Linked DNA regions of Saccharomyces cerevisiae S288C. Changing the gene in region 3 together with the main gene of any one other region gives a genetic interaction. Each region holds a gene or a part of one and is shown on either strand. Other genes may lie near its edges.

Region 1 (4,173 bases), on a different chromosome or scaffold from region 3:
CTGTTCGTGAGCATTACCTGGTACCTTTCTTTTATAATACCTCATACGTTCTCTAAAATTCTTTTCCATCTCCGACTTTATGTTGTTAAACTCTTCTGACTGTTCTCTTTGAAGGCAAACGTTTTCAACATGTTCACTATTTTCAAGATCCAGCCATTTTTTAGGTACCGCTACACAATTTGGAACTACGACAGGATGGTCATCTTTGGGAAATCCTATCTTTATAGAATTTGATCCAGGATGTATCACGATAGTTGCTGTTGGATCATTTAGATCTATCTCGTCATTAAGTGGTGCTGCACTCGCTTCTGAGTGGGGCAAACTCTTTAAATCTATAACATCTGGTGTGTTGGTACTAGATATTTGGCTAGTGTTGTTATTTCTCAAAAATTTTCTATCTCTAAGTGCAAATATTTGATCGTCTTTTTTCAGATAATCTGATGAGTAGTTTTTTTGGTTGATTAACATTAAAGGTTGGAACAGGCCAGTGGCAGGTAAAGTAGTTGTCTCCACTTTCTCAATGCCAATTTTTTTCAACGTCTTGGCAAATTCTTCAGCAGCTTTAATACGTCCTAGTCTCCTCTTCTCCAAAAGATGTAGCGGGACTTTCTTCCCGGGAGGTGCTTTTGCGGGATCTAGCTTCGGATATTTCTTATAACGTTTACTAGTCTGCACAGCAGGTGGTGCCCTCTTATCTCTAGAGCTCCCTAATTCATTTTCATTTTCGTTGGCATTATCATTATCATTTTCGTCCTCATTGTCAACATCATTGTCGTCTTCGTCTTCATCTTCGTCTTCCCCTTCTTCATCTTCATCTTCTTCGTCTGCAACGTCTCTTGGGTCAACAGAAAGACCTGTTACACTTCTGGGTGTCTCAGATCCAACTACGTTATCGACACTATCGTCTGACTCATTCTCCGCATTTTCTTGATCCGCCTGGCTGCTTAAAGGTACGCTATTTTCTTCTTCCAGTTCATCCTCATCGTCATCATCCTCTAACGGAATATCAATGGGTTCCTCATAAATAATACTGGATTCTGCTTCTTCTTGCGACATGTTAGGTGCGATTGTATCCCTGTATTTATGTACTATTGACTAGTAATTTACCTGAAAGTGTTTGCTACTTCGTGGGCGTTCATCATCTCCATTTATTCATATTGCCATTCTCAAATAAGTCATCTTGCACGGCCCAACCAGCGGCTGGATAACGGATCTACCCCAACCTCGGACCCAAAGTTGCTGCTATAAAAACAGAAACAAAAAAGGCGTTTCTCGAGACTGATATCCAGATGGTAATAGAGCCCTTAAGTGCTTTGCAATTGTCAATTAAGTATCCTTGTTCGAGAGTTGTTCACAGCACACTGCGTATATATAGGCTTACCACAGTTGGATTTAATCAAGCGATATAAAAGCTGGAAGGAGACAAGTTTCCCCTAATTGTTGTTCTGTTTGTTACTTACCACTCTATATACGTTCGATTTCATAGAAAATTTCTTTTGCAGACCATTTATTCTTCAGTTTGATAATGTTAAGATCTACCGTTTCAAAAGCTTCTCTCAAAATTTGTCGTCACTTTCACAGAGAATCTATTCCTTACGATAAGACGATCAAAAATTTGCTGCTTCCCAAGGACACCAAGGTGATCTTTCAGGGGTTCACAGGTAAACAAGGTACTTTTCATGCCAGCATCTCTCAAGAATATGGTACAAATGTTGTGGGTGGTACGAACCCAAAAAAGGCGGGTCAAACACATTTAGGCCAACCTGTCTTTGCCTCTGTGAAGGACGCGATTAAGGAGACTGGAGCCACTGCCAGTGCCATCTTTGTTCCTCCACCGATCGCAGCTGCTGCCATTAAAGAATCTATTGAAGCTGAAATTCCGTTAGCTGTATGTATCACTGAAGGTATTCCTCAACATGACATGTTATACATTGCAGAAATGTTGCAGACACAAGATAAAACAAGATTAGTTGGGCCCAACTGCCCTGGTATCATTAACCCAGCAACAAAGGTAAGAATTGGTATCCAGCCCCCAAAAATTTTTCAAGCTGGTAAAATCGGTATTATTTCCAGATCGGGAACTTTGACATACGAAGCTGTTCAGCAAACTACAAAAACTGACCTTGGTCAATCACTGGTTATTGGTATGGGTGGTGATGCTTTTCCCGGTACTGATTTTATTGACGCCTTGAAATTATTTCTAGAAGATGAAACTACAGAAGGTATTATTATGTTAGGTGAAATAGGTGGTAAGGCCGAAATCGAAGCTGCTCAATTTCTCAAAGAATACAACTTTAGCAGGAGTAAGCCGATGCCGGTGGCATCTTTCATCGCAGGAACTGTTGCTGGTCAAATGAAAGGTGTTAGAATGGGTCACTCCGGTGCAATTGTAGAAGGATCTGGAACTGATGCAGAATCCAAAAAACAAGCTTTGAGAGATGTTGGTGTTGCCGTCGTTGAATCTCCAGGTTACTTAGGTCAAGCTTTACTGGATCAATTTGCCAAATTTAAATGATTATATTAGGAAGAGAATGAACTGCTTTCAAAAGAGGAAGACTTCTATGTCTCGATTATTGCTTAGACAAGTATGGAGCTGACATCCGTTTTCTTTTCAGAGCTTTTACTCAACATTCTATGTTAATTTTTCCCTTTGTATATATTCATTTATCCTTATAAATTCTACTAAAAATCTTTTAATAGTGTTTGTATTTAATGTTCTTCTTAACAAGGGTATACATAAAGGTTGATTAAAGCTTAATAATTGAAATGGAAAAAAAAATAACAAAACGTCTGAATTTCCTAGTCTGTTTTGCAAAAACAGATGCGCAAGCCGGGAATCGAACCCGGGCCTCATGCTTGGGAAGCATAAATTCTAACCACTGAACCACTTGCGCGTTTCAATCAATTTGGGAAGACTCAGCACGTTATATACTATTAATGAAAAATTTCCTTCTTAGTAATGACACTGATAAATAGGTAAGTGTTGGAATTAAAATCAACTATCGTCTAACAACTAGTAGTCACACTACCAATATATTATCATACACGGTGTTAGACGATGACATAAGATATGAGAAACTGTCATCGAAGTTAGACGAAGCTGAAATGCAAGGATTGATAACGTAATAGGATAATAAAACATATAGAACAGAAGGAGAAATAATCATAGTATTATTATGTAGAAATATAGATTCCTTTTTGAGGACTCCTATATCCTCGAGGAGAACTACACATAATATTATATATAACCTTTGCCAAAAAAAGGAATGCCAAAAATTATCAAACTATTTGTTGGAATAAAAATCCACTATCGTCTATCAACTAATAGTTATATTATCAATATATTATCATATACGGTGTTAAGATGATGACATAAGTTATGAGAAGCTGTCATCGAAGTTAGAGGAAGCTGAAGTGCAAGGATTGATAATGTAATAGGATAATGAAACATATAAAACGGAATGAGGAATAATCGTAATATTAGTATGTAGAAATATAGATTCCATTTTGAGGATTCCTATATCCTCGAGGAGAACTTCTAGTATATTCTGTATACCTAATATTATAGCCTTTATCAACAATGGAATCCCAACAATTATCTAATTACCCACATATATCTCATGGTAGCGCCTGTGCTTCGGTTACTTCTAAGGAAGTCCACACAAATCAAGATCCGTTAGACGTTTCAGCTTCCAAAATTCAAGAATATGATAAGGCTTCCACTAAGGCTAACTCTCAACAGACAACAACACCTGCTTCATCAGCTGTTCCAGAGAACCCCCATCATGCCTCTCCTCAACCTGCTTCAGTACCACCTCCACAGAATGGGCCGTACCCACAGCAGTGCATGATGACCCAAAACCAAGCCAATCCATCTGGTTGGTCATTTTACGGACACCCATCTATGATTCCGTATACACCTTATCAAATGTCGCCTATGTACTTTCCACCTGGGCCACAATCACAGTTTCCGCAGTATCCATCATCAGTTGGAACGCCTCTGAGCACTCCATCACCTGAGTCAGGTAATACATTTACTGATTCATCCTCAGCGGACTCTGATATGACATCCACTAAAAAATATGTCAGACCACCACCAATGTTAACCTCACCTAATGACTTTCCAAATTGGGTTAAAACATACATCAAATTTTTACAAAACTCGAATCTCGG
Region 2 (4,566 bases), on a different chromosome or scaffold from region 3:
ATGTCATTTTGATTTTCGTTGTTTTGTAAAACTGTTAGCATCATTGAAAATTTAACGGAATTCGGCATAACAAATAATTTTGTTTTCAAAAATTCACATATCTTGATGGCTAGCTTCTCTTTTCCAATAGTATATGTTCCCACAAGAAATAGGACCCTGTAACGATGAGTTGTCAATGTTTTCTTTCTCTGAAAGTGAAAAAGGTTCCTTTGTGAATCTCCAAATGTTTTGTTTTTACCATGTTTTATAAGCCGTAATGTAAAATCAGCCACAGTCTCGCACACAGAATGTTGTGAAGGAAAGTTGTATCCCATAGTCATATATGTTGTATCTAAATAAACTTGGTCAATAGTTTCATTCGCTGTCTCGGCCAACCACTTCTGAATTGTCTCAATCATTTTGGCGTTGCTTCGAAAATCCCCCGTGTGAAGAATTTGTCTTATAGGCTTATCATACGAATTTGCCAGAAACTCCTGGAAAAGCATTATTATTGCACCGGGACAATGGTTAGCGTCCAACGTAACTACTGAAATGGTATCTGTTATCCAAAAGCGTTTATTCATGGGTAAAATTTGGATTTCATCCATTGGAATTTTGAATTTTAAATTTACTAATATTGCAGTGATCTTAGAACAGTAAAGTGTTTTCTTGATCGGATTCTCATCAGGATTGTTCCAAGATTTTTTGAGTCCAATATAGTGATCAGAATGAAAATGAGAAAGAAAGTACTGAGAGATAGTCTCGCTGGCCTTATAATTGAAACCATCCACAACTATTTCGTGGCCATTATTGAACTTAATTATCTTGAAACTTGGTAAAACAAGTTTTACTCTTGTTGGTTTTTTTGACGTAGCTATATCCCTCTTCGTTTTTGCAGGAGATGATGGATTAGAAATAAAGCTCCTGATATTCTTTTTAGGTGTTCCCATATTGCTCGGGTCACTGCCTATGCAAGTATCACAGTGTGTCTCTCTTTCGTACAATTCTAAATGAGAAAGGTTTTCTAGACAAATAGGACATTGAATAACTTCTGTAGAGACTTTAACATTTACTTGCTCCTCCAATTCCGTTACTATTCGATCTTCGGTCCTATTTTCTATTGCGCTGACTTCGTTATCATGCAAGCTAACTAGTTCTTCCTCGTCTGTGTCTATGGTGATTTCGACCTTTGCAGTGTCTTCAAGGCAAATGCTATTGTGATCGTCATCGTTAATAATTACTGGCTCTGTATTCTTATTGGATGTTGAACAACTGAACCTTGAGAATGAATATGAACTGGAACGGACAGGTAAGTTCGATGAAGTTGGGATGTTGAATTCTGTCAAAGTTCTCTGCCTTTTAGAGGATGTATGTGTGTTCTTATGAAGAGTTTTCCCCTCACTTGTACTGCTAGCGGTGCTACTTCGTTTCCGCTTTACTTCAGATCTTCTTATTTGCACTATAGATTTCCTTGACATAATCAACCGACCACCCAAATTAGTCACTAGTGCGTATGCTGCTTAACATGAGTTTTGACGCAGGTATTTGATTATGTTTATATTGCTATTTTACTAGTACTTTTTCAGTCCGTTTCCATGACAAAATCTAAAAAGCCATCGCACTAATTTATAAAGATAATAAGAGGGAAGCTTAAGGTGTAGAAGAATACATGGGACTACTAAGTATTATCAGGAAACAGAAGCTCAGGGACAAAGAAATTCGCTGTCTGATTCTAGGACTAGACAATTCGGGGAAGTCAACGATAGTAAACAAACTATTGCCCAAGGATGAGCAAAATAACGATGGTATAATGCCTACTGTGGGTTTTCAAATACATAGTCTGATGATAAAAGATGTGACAATATCTCTATGGGACATTGGGGGGCAACGCACATTAAGGCCATTTTGGGATAACTATTTTGATAAGACACAAGCGATGATATGGTGTATAGATGTGAGCCTTTCAATGCGGTTTGACGAAACCTTGCAAGAACTAAAAGAATTAATCAATAGAGACGAAAATCGAATAGGATACGAGTGTGCTGTTATCGTTGTGTTGAACAAGATTGATTTAGTGGAGGACAAGTCCGAGCTTCATCGAAGGTGTTTACTGGTAGAGAGCGAGTTGAAGTGTCTGTTCAAGCCGGACATCCGAATAGAGCTCGTCAAATGTAGTGGCGTTACCGGAGAAGGTATTGATAACCTGCGTGACCGTCTGGTGGAATCCTGCCATTTTACCCAATAATCGTCTAAGATGTGAGCACCATATAAAAACTTTAAATAATGTCAGTATTTATAGCGTGATAGTTCATTACCCGCCGACTGTGCGCATTCGTGGCTTCTGCTCACTCCGGATAATAATACTACCAAGGGGTTCTGTAAGGCTTGCGGGTTACAAAGCACGGGTCCATTGAAGATCTTACACAAGAAGGAGTGGTAGGAAGACCAGCAGATTATTTCCAATCGGTCGTTGCCATTGTCTTATTTCCTTTTCTTTCTGGCGCATTGCATTTTAACACCTTTTTTTCCAGAATAGCCAACCACCGACGTCTGATTCACACATTACTGGGCAAGATCTTGACATAGCATTACATTACAACACGGCAACACTAATCACGCAACGCTAGAACTCGCGCAGGATGAATATTCAAAGCAATAATTCTCCGAATCTCAGTAATAACATAGTGTCAAAACAGGTTTACTACGCCCATCCTCCACCTACGATAGACCCGAATGATCCGGTGCAGATATCTTTCCCTACCACCGAAGTAGTTGGGCATGGTTCGTTTGGTGTGGTATTTGCCACTGTTATTCAAGAAACTAATGAAAAAGTTGCTATTAAGAAAGTCCTGCAAGATAAACGATTCAAGAACAGAGAGCTGGAAATAATGAAAATGCTGAGTCACATAAATATAATAGATCTGAAGTACTTTTTCTATGAAAGGGACTCCCAAGATGAGATTTATTTAAATTTGATACTAGAATACATGCCACAATCTTTGTACCAGAGGTTACGTCATTTCGTCCATCAACGTACGCCGATGTCAAGATTGGAAATAAAGTACTACATGTTTCAATTGTTCAAGTCATTGAATTACCTCCATCATTTCGCGAACGTCTGTCATAGAGACATTAAGCCTCAAAATTTATTAGTAGATCCTGAGACCTGGTCCTTAAAACTGTGCGATTTCGGCAGTGCAAAGCAATTGAAACCTACTGAACCTAACGTTTCCTATATTTGTTCACGGTACTATAGAGCACCAGAGCTAATCTTCGGCGCAACAAATTATACCAACCAAATCGACATATGGTCCTCTGGCTGCGTAATGGCGGAACTGCTATTGGGCCAACCAATGTTCCCTGGAGAAAGTGGTATTGATCAACTAGTGGAAATCATTAAAATCTTAGGTACTCCATCAAAGCAAGAAATTTGCTCTATGAATCCCAATTATATGGAGCATAAGTTCCCGCAAATTAAACCAATACCATTGTCACGTGTTTTCAAGAAAGAAGATGATCAAACTGTGGAATTTCTAGCTGACGTTTTGAAATATGATCCACTAGAAAGATTTAATGCTCTACAATGCCTGTGTAGTCCATATTTTGATGAACTAAAACTTGATGACGGTAAAATAAATCAAATAACAACTGATTTAAAATTGCTAGAGTTCGATGAAAATGTCGAATTGGGCCATCTATCTCCCGATGAACTATCATCTGTAAAAAAAAAGCTATATCCGAAGTCTAAGTAATGATAGCACCGGAGGGAGCCCAGGCAAGAATAATGGGAGAAGGAAGGAACATATATACGTATGTCTTTTTTTAGTACTATTATTACTGTTATTATTATGAGTATTGTTTTTGTATTACCATCATATTCTTATCATTATTAGTAGTAACAGTATTATGTTATCATTACTGTTATAATGAATACAAATTATGAAAAAAATAAGGTAAAGCCAAAATAAATTGTAACTTTTTTATGCCATTTCACTTCGAATTATGTATAAAAGCCGTATTCTTTGCCAGTACGAAACTATTTTAATGACACCTTTACTTTAACCGGGTAACAACTTCCTTAAATGGGTCGACAAGGTTTTTAGAGTATAAAGGGGCAAGTGAAGGTTCATCATCGAGCTGATGTAGTGGGTGTTTTAGTAAACGAAGAAGCACCTTAGAACCAAATAATCTAGCTAGTATAAACCGAACCCAGAGTAGCAAACAAACCATGGGTAATGTTCCAGGGAAAATAGACCAGGAAGATAGTTTTAATGATGTCAGGCCAGATTCCTCATATAATACTACATCATCGAATTCTGTCATCAAACAATATGATGAAGAAGCCTCTTCAAGGGTGAGAACGAGACGCACGACGTCTTTGGTCAATAATATTTTAAATGGGAATAATGCTCGTACAAAAACTGGTTCTCATCTATCCAGCACTAGTAGAAGAAAGACGTCACGGGAAAAAGAGCTTGCTAAAGAGGCACATGCTAAACAATTGGTTGTGAGGTGTAGCGAAACTGTAGATGGGGGGTTTTTGGCCCCATTTGGCTGTTATTCTTTTGAAAAGTTGGACTATGATGC
Region 3 (4,426 bases):
AAGAAATTATTAATTATGAAGAAGGGTACGGCGGCCAAGAGAAATTTCATCCACATTCTATTTAGAGCACATTAAAAAAATCTCCCGGGGGCGAGTCGAACGCCCGATCTCAAGATTTCGTAGTGGTAAATTACAGTCTTGCGCCTTAAACCAACTTGGCTACCGAGAGTGATAAATGATTAATAACCAAAAAATTTTGTTTCATCATACAAATTCAAAGAAAGTATTGTTTCATAAGAATGTTGCTGAAAGGACTTTGAGTGAATTGTGAACAGTTTGATAATTATTGGTCCAAATGGCGACATTGAAGACACAGTGTAAATTATTCAATGATGATTTGGCCTGGTTTTTACAAATGATTTTATCGACGTCAAGAGGATACAGTTCAAGAACGGTTAAGCGACATTGACAAAAAATGCTCAAAAACCACTGGTGCAACTTTACTGGTGGCAGTTTTTTGAAGTGAAAAGGAACTTTATTCTGGAGCGGAAGAAATTCAATAAATGTCACCACAATACCGATGCTATTCTTAGATGATCGATAAAATTAAGTACTATCTGTCGGTTTCTCAAATAACAGTATAAATATTTAGTTCACATTTAGAGACGGCTGAATCGTAACAAAATATAGTTCTTATAGATCTAAAGTACGAACACTCCTAATGTATCGCTTATATTGAAGTTTGCTGTGAATCTAGGACGCGTCTGCTGAAATATGCTGAATCAGTTTCCGGTGAAAGACTTTAATTTTGATATTTACCTACGTTATTTACAAGTGAATTGAAATATTCATCAACGTTATGTGTAACTGTCAATATTCTCCAAAAATCCTTTGAATTCCAAGCCGATTAAATCATTTCTATCACAATCATAAATCATGCCCTTTTCGACTTTAATTGTTAAGCCTTTATCTTTAATCTTCACTGAAAATTTAGGCCCCGAGAAATATTTCCATTGTTCGCTCTGTAAGGTGTTCATAGCATCTTTAATCTCATCGTTTATAGATTTAAACTCGTCACAGTAATATATAGGTATTTCGCCGTCAACTTTGAATGTTTTCTGAAAACGCTCGGATACCACTGCAATGAACTGATTAGGAGTAATTATACCAACATTTTTGATTTTTGATTTTACACTATGAACTCCACTTGACTCCCATTCCATATTGTTCGGTAGTGAGGGTTCTAATAAGCCGCTAAACTGTTCTAAATCCGCATTAAGCAACATCGTTGCATGATGGTATGCTTTGCCACCGGCAATTTTATAAGCACTGCCACTAATTTTAAACCCGTCCTGAATAATATCTCCTCTCTCATTCAAATCTAGTCTTAGTTCGGGATTCAATGAATTTAACCACTTAATTATCATTTTGTTGAAAAACTTTGTTTCGAATTTCTCCCTTGATGTTAAATATGAATAATTAACATTGCCCAAATCATGCAGTACAGTGCCACCTCCAGAAAATCTTCTAAGTAGTTCGAAATTCTTACTCTTCAGCTTAGCAAGATCTACTTCCTGCCACAGATTTTGGTTTTTGCCTATAACGGCGCACCTATCATTGATGTAAAATAACAGTCTGCAATTATCGGGACCTCTTTTGGCTCTTGGTGTATTCTTGAAAACATAGTTTTCAAGGGCCAAATTATAATAAGGACTGGTGGATAAACTTTGTATAACAAATCTGCCCTTTGCCTTTACTATATTTTCCAATTGTGAAGCAGACATGATCTGTTTGGCATATCCAATATTATAGAAATTGTACAAGTCTTTATTAAAAGCACTGATATCTTCTTCCATAGAGCTGGCCTTCGTCGTATCATAATCAGATTTACCTTCATCCTGCAAAATTGAAACGTTATCATTTGAAGGTGTAAACATGTTTTCATACATTGAGTTTATATCATGATATTTATCGTCTGCGTCTTTTGCCCATCGTGTAAGTGTGTGAAATAAAGTGGTGCAATGTATGAGGTTTCGCTGTCCCACATATCGAGGGGAGAGTGCCCAATTACTTAGCATCATAGACATAATGTAAACATCAAAGAAAAGTCTAGTGTTTTCTTCTTTTGTATTCATCAAAAATTCTACATACGTGAGCTCGGAGATTTTTGGATGTTCAATATTCCTGATTAAGTATGACGAAGCGGAACGCATAGCTATCCTTTGCGTAATGATGAATATGAACAATGCGAATGAAGATCATCGATATCTTTGCACTAAAAGACTACTTTGAAGGAATCCTCAAGATATTAAACCCACCAATCTTTTTTACTGGTATAAATTCTCGTACGGGTTCACAGGAACAATGATAAATGAGAGCGTTTCCAAGAGAGAAGGATTCCACGAGTCTATAAGCAGAGAGACGAGTGCAAGCAACGCTTTAGGACTATACAATAAATTTAACGATGAGCGAAATCCCAGGTATCGAACGATGATTGCTGAGCTGCACGAGTTTTTTCACCTTACTTTAGCTGAAACTATAACTGAAACTGACGTGAAAGAATTGGAGTGTAATAAAGAAAAGGCCGCTAAATTTAGAAAGCTAATGCCTAAGATGTTGAACAATTGCCGTGAATTAACGCAAAGGAAATCATACATTCCTTACAACTCAGAATTTAATGGGAATGACGAAAAGCAAAAGAAGTTTCAGCTGCTACATCAACACCAAATTGTGCTGAGTTTTCAAGAATTTTGTGATGAATTGGCAAAGTTAATAATTGACGCGCACGTCCTTAGCTTTTTGACCAGATGCGACTATTCTTATGAAATTATACCCAAAAATTGGACCTCTTTTTACAAGCTATTTCAGTACGTAATGGGTGCCGTTGGTCCTATTATATCGTATGTGCCGGTAAATTATCCCATGATAAGAAAAGAACTAGGATTTGAGACCTTAACGATATTTCAGTATTATGATTCCAAACTTTTCGAATGTATGAAGTCACATTTTGGAAGGGAATTTTCCACCCTTGTAAGCGCTACTATTCATCACTATATTCATATGTTTCCAATAACGAATACAATGTTAGAGAAGGAAGTTCCTATGCTCCGTATAATGTCTAACTGCAATTTTAGTATAGAGGGCTTGAGCCCCAAAGATTTTTATATGAAAACTCTCAGACAATATTACTGTGAGGAATCAAATTTAAGGCCGAGGCTGGAAACTTTCAAGAATTTTAAGGTACTATTGACGAGGAATGCATTATTAGCATCTTTATTTTCCCCTGAATGGGTCAGCGATGCAAATGACCTATTTATAAGCCATCTACTGTTGAACAAGAAGTCTATTAGCGAATACATAGAAATTGGGAAGGACACTTATGATGAAGAAAAAGAGAGATATTTCAAAACTGAGACACACTTTAGCTTATTGATGTTTAGAAATGCTTTTGAAGCAAAAAATATGCTGTCAAAATTCAAGGAATTCTGTGATGATGCCGTTTCAGAAAAGTTAAAGGCAGCATATGGATCCAATCATGATACTGAAAGGCTATTTGATGAGGTAGTTCAGCTAGCTAATGTAGATCACCTCAAAATATACTCCGATTCCATCGAGTACCATTTATGTAATTTACTTGGAAGTACCAGCAAAGCCATAGAACAGTATGTCAAATATTTTGAGTCACATTTATTCATCATCGTCAGAAAGATAAAAACAACTAAAAAAGACCTACCCAGAGATATGAAAATAAAGTATCTCAACGAAAATCTTCCTATATTGAGACTGAAGTTCGTTAACCTTCCCACATTTCCTAATTTTTTCGAAAGATCAATTTTCAGAAAGACGATCTTACAAAGTGATCAAAATTCCTCATTTATTAAGGATATATTACCTGTTTACAAAGACAGCCTCATGGAACTTTTCAAACAAAGAATCATAACAAATGTCTCACAAGAGGATGAAATGCGATACCGAGATCAATATCAACCCTATTTATCGCAATTCTTTCAGCCGGTAGAGGTTATGGCAGATCTGAGAATCAAATATGCATCGTTCTTGTCGTTTTATGAGAATATCGAGGCTGCTGTGAAGTTCGGGAAGACATACAATGAAAACAACAGCAAGTCATTTTTCCCACTTATCTTTGATAGAGAAAGAATTCCCAAAGTTTTTCAGCAATCCAACGAAGTAAAGAAAAATTTTGTCCTACCTCAAGAGATGGATGATACGTGGAACCAATTTCTCCGTAATTATCACGAGCAGAATAAAGTGGAAGATTCAGATGCTTCCAAAAAAGAGCTATATCCGATGTGGAACTTGCACCACTGCGAAGTGGAGTCGCCTTATATCATACAGGATGGAACTAACCTAATATTTGAATTGACCCTTTTCCAAACATGTGTGCTGACTTTATTCAACGAAAGCGATCATTTGACCTTGCAAGTTATATCAGAGCAAACGAAACTGGCGTACAAAGACTTAGCGC
Region 4 (4,391 bases), on a different chromosome or scaffold from region 3:
GTGCTGTCAAGTCCAACTATTCATTAAATCCAAGGGATGAACAAAGTATTGTGGTAAGGGTTTACGAATCTCTTGGCGGGGAATCTTTTGCTTCACTAAATACCACACTAAATTTGAAGCGTATTGAGAAGGTCGATAACTTGGAGATGAAAGTTTATAAGAGTTTGACAGCAACGCGAGACGAATCAAATCATGCAATAAACAGAATTCCCATTAAATTGAGACCTTTTGAGATTGCCTCATTCAGGTTGTATTTCTGAGTTTGTCTCCCTCACTGTTTTTTACATTCACTCACTCCCAAACTTATGCCATTTCTATCATGATAACCAAAAATAGTCTTAACAAAATACATATAAGTAAATAATGCTAAATAAAAAAGCAAAAAAATAAAATTTATATCACACTTGTAAAACCTTTAAATGATCTTCTTTTTTACCTGTTTTATTCACTTGTTTTTTTTTTTCTGAGTTGTTGCGCCTTGGAAGAATGGAAAAGCAATAGTTTCAGTGACTATAGTATACAATCAAAACACCCGCCAGTTCAAAACTATTACTTGGTCACTAACCCCCAAGTCATCTCTAGCAATTTAAATTTCAATTTTAAGAAAACCTTTATTTATCCAACGTGAACAAGTACTTTCAAGCACTTCTGCCCACCGCTATATCGTGGAAAAATGTGTCAAGCTACCAATGGCCCGAGTAGAGTTGTGACTAAAAAGCATAGGAAATTTTTCGAAAGACATCTACAGTTGCTTCCCTCTTCACATCAGGGACATGACGTGAACAGAATGGCGATAATATTCTACTCAATCTCAGGACTCTCTATATTTGATGTTAACGTTTCTGCGAAGTACGGCGATCATCTTGGCTGGATGCGCAAACATTATATCAAAACAGTGCTGGATGATACAGAAAATACTGTGATATCTGGATTTGTTGGAAGCTTAGTCATGAATATCCCTCACGCAACAACGATTAATCTACCAAATACTCTCTTTGCATTGTTGTCCATGATTATGCTGAGAGATTACGAGTATTTTGAGACTATACTAGACAAAAGAAGCCTGGCGAGATTTGTTTCTAAGTGCCAACGACCTGACCGTGGCTCGTTTGTATCTTGTTTAGACTATAAGACAAATTGTGGATCTTCGGTTGATTCAGACGATTTAAGGTTTTGCTACATCGCAGTTGCCATTCTGTACATATGCGGATGCCGATCCAAAGAAGACTTTGATGAATACATTGATACTGAGAAGTTGCTTGGCTATATAATGTCGCAACAATGCTACAACGGAGCTTTCGGTGCCCACAATGAACCACACTCAGGGTACACATCTTGTGCGCTGTCTACCTTAGCTTTACTCTCTAGTTTGGAAAAGCTATCAGACAAGTTTAAAGAAGACACCATAACCTGGCTATTACATAGGCAAGTATCAAGCCATGGATGTATGAAATTTGAAAGCGAATTGAATGCCAGCTATGATCAATCTGATGATGGCGGTTTCCAGGGAAGGGAGAACAAGTTCGCTGATACGTGTTACGCATTTTGGTGCTTAAATTCACTACACTTACTAACAAAGGATTGGAAAATGCTATGCCAAACTGAACTAGTCACAAATTATTTGCTTGATCGAACGCAAAAAACATTAACTGGAGGCTTTAGTAAAAATGACGAAGAAGATGCTGATTTATATCACAGCTGTCTAGGGAGCGCTGCGTTAGCATTAATTGAGGGGAAATTTAATGGAGAATTATGCATACCTCAAGAAATATTTAATGATTTTAGTAAAAGGTGCTGTTTTTGAAGTTCAAACAGTAATAAGAGTCTATCGATTACATAAATGTGAGCAAGCGAAAAAAAAAAATTGGCATTATAAACCATCATTTTCGATGAAATAATCAATCAACGTAGATAAGCTGATATTATATAATTTTGGTCTGTTCGTGTTGATTTTATCACTGATGGACTTTGGCATACAGATAGTGACAATTTCGTTATTGAACCATTGAGAATGGAAAATCAATGGAACTTCATCCAGAGTTATGCACATAGAAGCTCCCTCAGCCGGAAAAAAGCTGATAGCGCCAAAATCTATTAGTGACAAGTCTGTGTTAAGGCCAGTTCCAGTAAATTTTGTATACGACTCCTTCAAGGACCATAAGTAAGTAAATATTGTGCATGGATCAGACGCTTTCAGTAAACCGTTAAATTCTCTTTCACTAAAAACTTCTTTAAATAGCTCCAACTCTTCCCTCCCGCCATAATTGCACGGAGAAGCGATATCAATTCCGACATCCTGGTATTCATCTGTACTTACACATTTTACGAGGAACATAGCTACATATTGTTCACCGATGGTCATGCTAAATGGAAGAAAACGATTGTTGTCTAAGAATGGCTTACCGAAGCTGCCCTTGTCAAATTTCAGCTCTTGAAAATTTAAGCCCGTTACTATAGAGCAGCCAAACAACTGCAGCAGCTGGCTGCATAGATTTGAACATCTATCGTGAAACGATTTTTTATTGAGGATTCTGGCTTGAGACGCCAATGGCAAAGTTCTCATTAATGCCTCGAACGTAAACTCATCCGCGAGTATATCCTCTTGAATTTCAACAACGAATATACCTGCCCATGGTCTTACACCTGCCACCTTTGAAACTTCGCTTACTACTTCAGTCGTTTTAACCATCCACGGTTTTTTTGCTGAGTGATTCTCTTTCTCCTCATTCTCATTTTAGTCATAGCGGTTTTAATAAGCGCCCGAAAGATAATTGTAAAACATATATTCAATGCTTAAAAATATAAGAAATTGCCCATCAATTTGAAAACTCAAGTAAAACAGAGAAGTTGTAAGGTGAATAAGGAATGAGTGACGTGGTCAGTAAAGATCGTAAGGCATTGTTCGACTCAGCAGTATCCTTTTTAAAGGATGAGTCCATTAAAGATGCTCCACTTTTAAAGAAAATCGAATTTTTAAAATCCAAAGGGTTAACAGAAAAGGAGATTGAAATAGCCATGAAAGAGCCCAAGAAAGACGGTATCGTAGGCGATGAAGTATCGAAAAAAATTGGTAGTACTGAGAATAGAGCCTCACAGGATATGTATCTCTATGAAGCGATGCCACCAACGCTGCCCCACAGGGATTGGAAGGACTATTTTGTGATGGCTACTGCCACAGCTGGGCTGTTGTATGGTGCATATGAAGTAACTAGAAGGTATGTGATACCAAATATTTTACCAGAAGCAAAAAGCAAGTTGGAAGGGGACAAAAAAGAAATTGATGATCAGTTCTCCAAAATCGATACAGTCCTCAATGCCATCGAAGCGGAGCAAGCTGAGTTTAGGAAAAAGGAAAGCGAAACATTAAAGGAACTTAGTGACACGATTGCTGAACTGAAACAGGCGCTTGTGCAGACAACAAGAAGCAGGGAAAAGATCGAAGACGAGTTTAGAATAGTTAAACTCGAGGTGGTCAATATGCAAAATACGATCGACAAATTTGTTTCAGATAATGACGGCATGCAAGAGTTAAATAATATCCAAAAAGAAATGGAATCTCTGAAAAGCTTAATGAATAACCGTATGGAATCCGGTAATGCGCAGGACAACAGATTATTTTCCATATCTCCTAATGGTATACCTGGCATAGATACGATTCCATCTGCGTCTGAGATTCTTGCCAAAATGGGCATGCAAGAAGAAAGTGATAAAGAAAAGGAAAACGGCAGCGATGCTAATAAAGATGACAATGCTGTTCCAGCGTGGAAAAAAGCAAGAGAACAAACTATTGATAGCAACGCCTCCATTCCAGAATGGCAAAAAAATACCGCCGCCAATGAGATCAGTGTCCCTGACTGGCAAAATGGACAGGTCGAAGACTCCATCCCATAGCGCAATTCTATGTAAGTAATTAGTTTTTTAACGGAAATTGTAATTGTAACTGTCCTAGATACTATGGACATTCAATCTGATTGTTACCCGGAACATTTGCTTTTGAAAGGCATTTTTAGTAGCACTAATATATTGGCAGCTAATTGAAACAGTAATCTACAAATATGAGTAAGCTAAACCACCTCAACAAAGCTATTCGTGGCTAGTATATGACCTTGAATTGCCATGGAAAAAGAATCAGTATACAACTTAGCACTAAAATGTGCTGAGCGGCAATTGACCTCCATGGAATTTTCGAACCTTTACAAGGAATTCTTTAATGAAAAGTTCCCGTCTTTGATTCAAGAGGAAGAAGAAGATACAACAACAACTGCAAATATAAATGAGGTCAAGAAAGCGTCCGATTTGGTGGATACACCCAGCAACAACACGGCTGCTACTGCAGATACTACACACTTACACGAGGCTCTAGATATTGTTTGCTCCGATTTTGTTAAAAT

The links.
Region 1: mutations in AIM22 (region 3) and LSC1 together harm fitness more than expected from each alone (negative genetic interaction), as found in Saccharomyces cerevisiae (3 studies listed by BioGRID).
Region 2: mutations in AIM22 (region 3) and RIM11 together harm fitness more than expected from each alone (negative genetic interaction), as found in Saccharomyces cerevisiae (3 studies listed by BioGRID).
Region 4: mutations in AIM22 (region 3) and PEX14 together harm fitness more than expected from each alone (negative genetic interaction), as found in Saccharomyces cerevisiae (2 studies listed by BioGRID).

Annotation. Positions count from the first base shown.
Region 1 is NC_001147.6:591,532-595,704, forward strand, and holds LSC1 (succinate--CoA ligase (GDP-forming) subunit alpha), read left to right. Parts: upstream 1-1,525; coding exon 1,526-2,515; downstream 2,516-4,173. Other genes in the region: ARP8 (Arp8p), read right to left, coding at 1-1,056; YOR142W-A (gag protein), read left to right, coding at 3,581-4,173. UniProt on the Saccharomyces cerevisiae protein: Succinyl-CoA synthetase functions in the citric acid cycle (TCA), coupling the hydrolysis of succinyl-CoA to the synthesis of ATP and thus represents the only step of substrate-level phosphorylation in the TCA.
Region 2 is NC_001145.3:543,507-548,072, forward strand, and holds RIM11 (serine/threonine protein kinase RIM11), read left to right. Parts: upstream 1-2,618; coding exon 2,619-3,731; downstream 3,732-4,566. Other genes in the region: DNA cross-link repair protein PSO2, read right to left, coding at 1-1,457; Arf family GTPase CIN4, read left to right, coding at 1,649-2,224; SIP5 (Sip5p), read left to right, coding at 4,208-4,566. UniProt on the Saccharomyces cerevisiae protein: Serine/threonine protein kinase that is thought to function in regulating kinetochore activity and entry into meiosis. Could phosphorylate IME1.
Region 3 is NC_001142.9:349,987-354,412, reverse strand, and holds AIM22 (putative lipoate--protein ligase), read right to left. Parts: upstream 2,028-4,426; coding exon 798-2,027; downstream 1-797. Other genes in the region: cullin RTT101, read left to right, coding at 2,305-4,426. UniProt on the Saccharomyces cerevisiae protein: Catalyzes both the ATP-dependent activation of exogenously supplied lipoate to lipoyl-AMP and the transfer of the activated lipoyl onto the lipoyl domains of lipoate-dependent enzymes.
Region 4 is NC_001139.9:213,408-217,798, forward strand, and holds PEX14 (Pex14p), read left to right. Parts: upstream 1-2,865; coding exon 2,866-3,891; downstream 3,892-4,391. Other genes in the region: AMS1 (alpha-mannosidase), read left to right, coding at 1-260; protein geranylgeranyltransferase type I subunit CDC43, read left to right, coding at 674-1,804; LYS5 (holo-[acyl-carrier-protein] synthase), read right to left, coding at 1,871-2,689; NUT1 (Nut1p), read left to right, coding at 4,117-4,391. UniProt on the Saccharomyces cerevisiae protein: Component of the PEX13-PEX14 docking complex, a translocon channel that specifically mediates the import of peroxisomal cargo proteins bound to PEX5 or PEX21 receptors.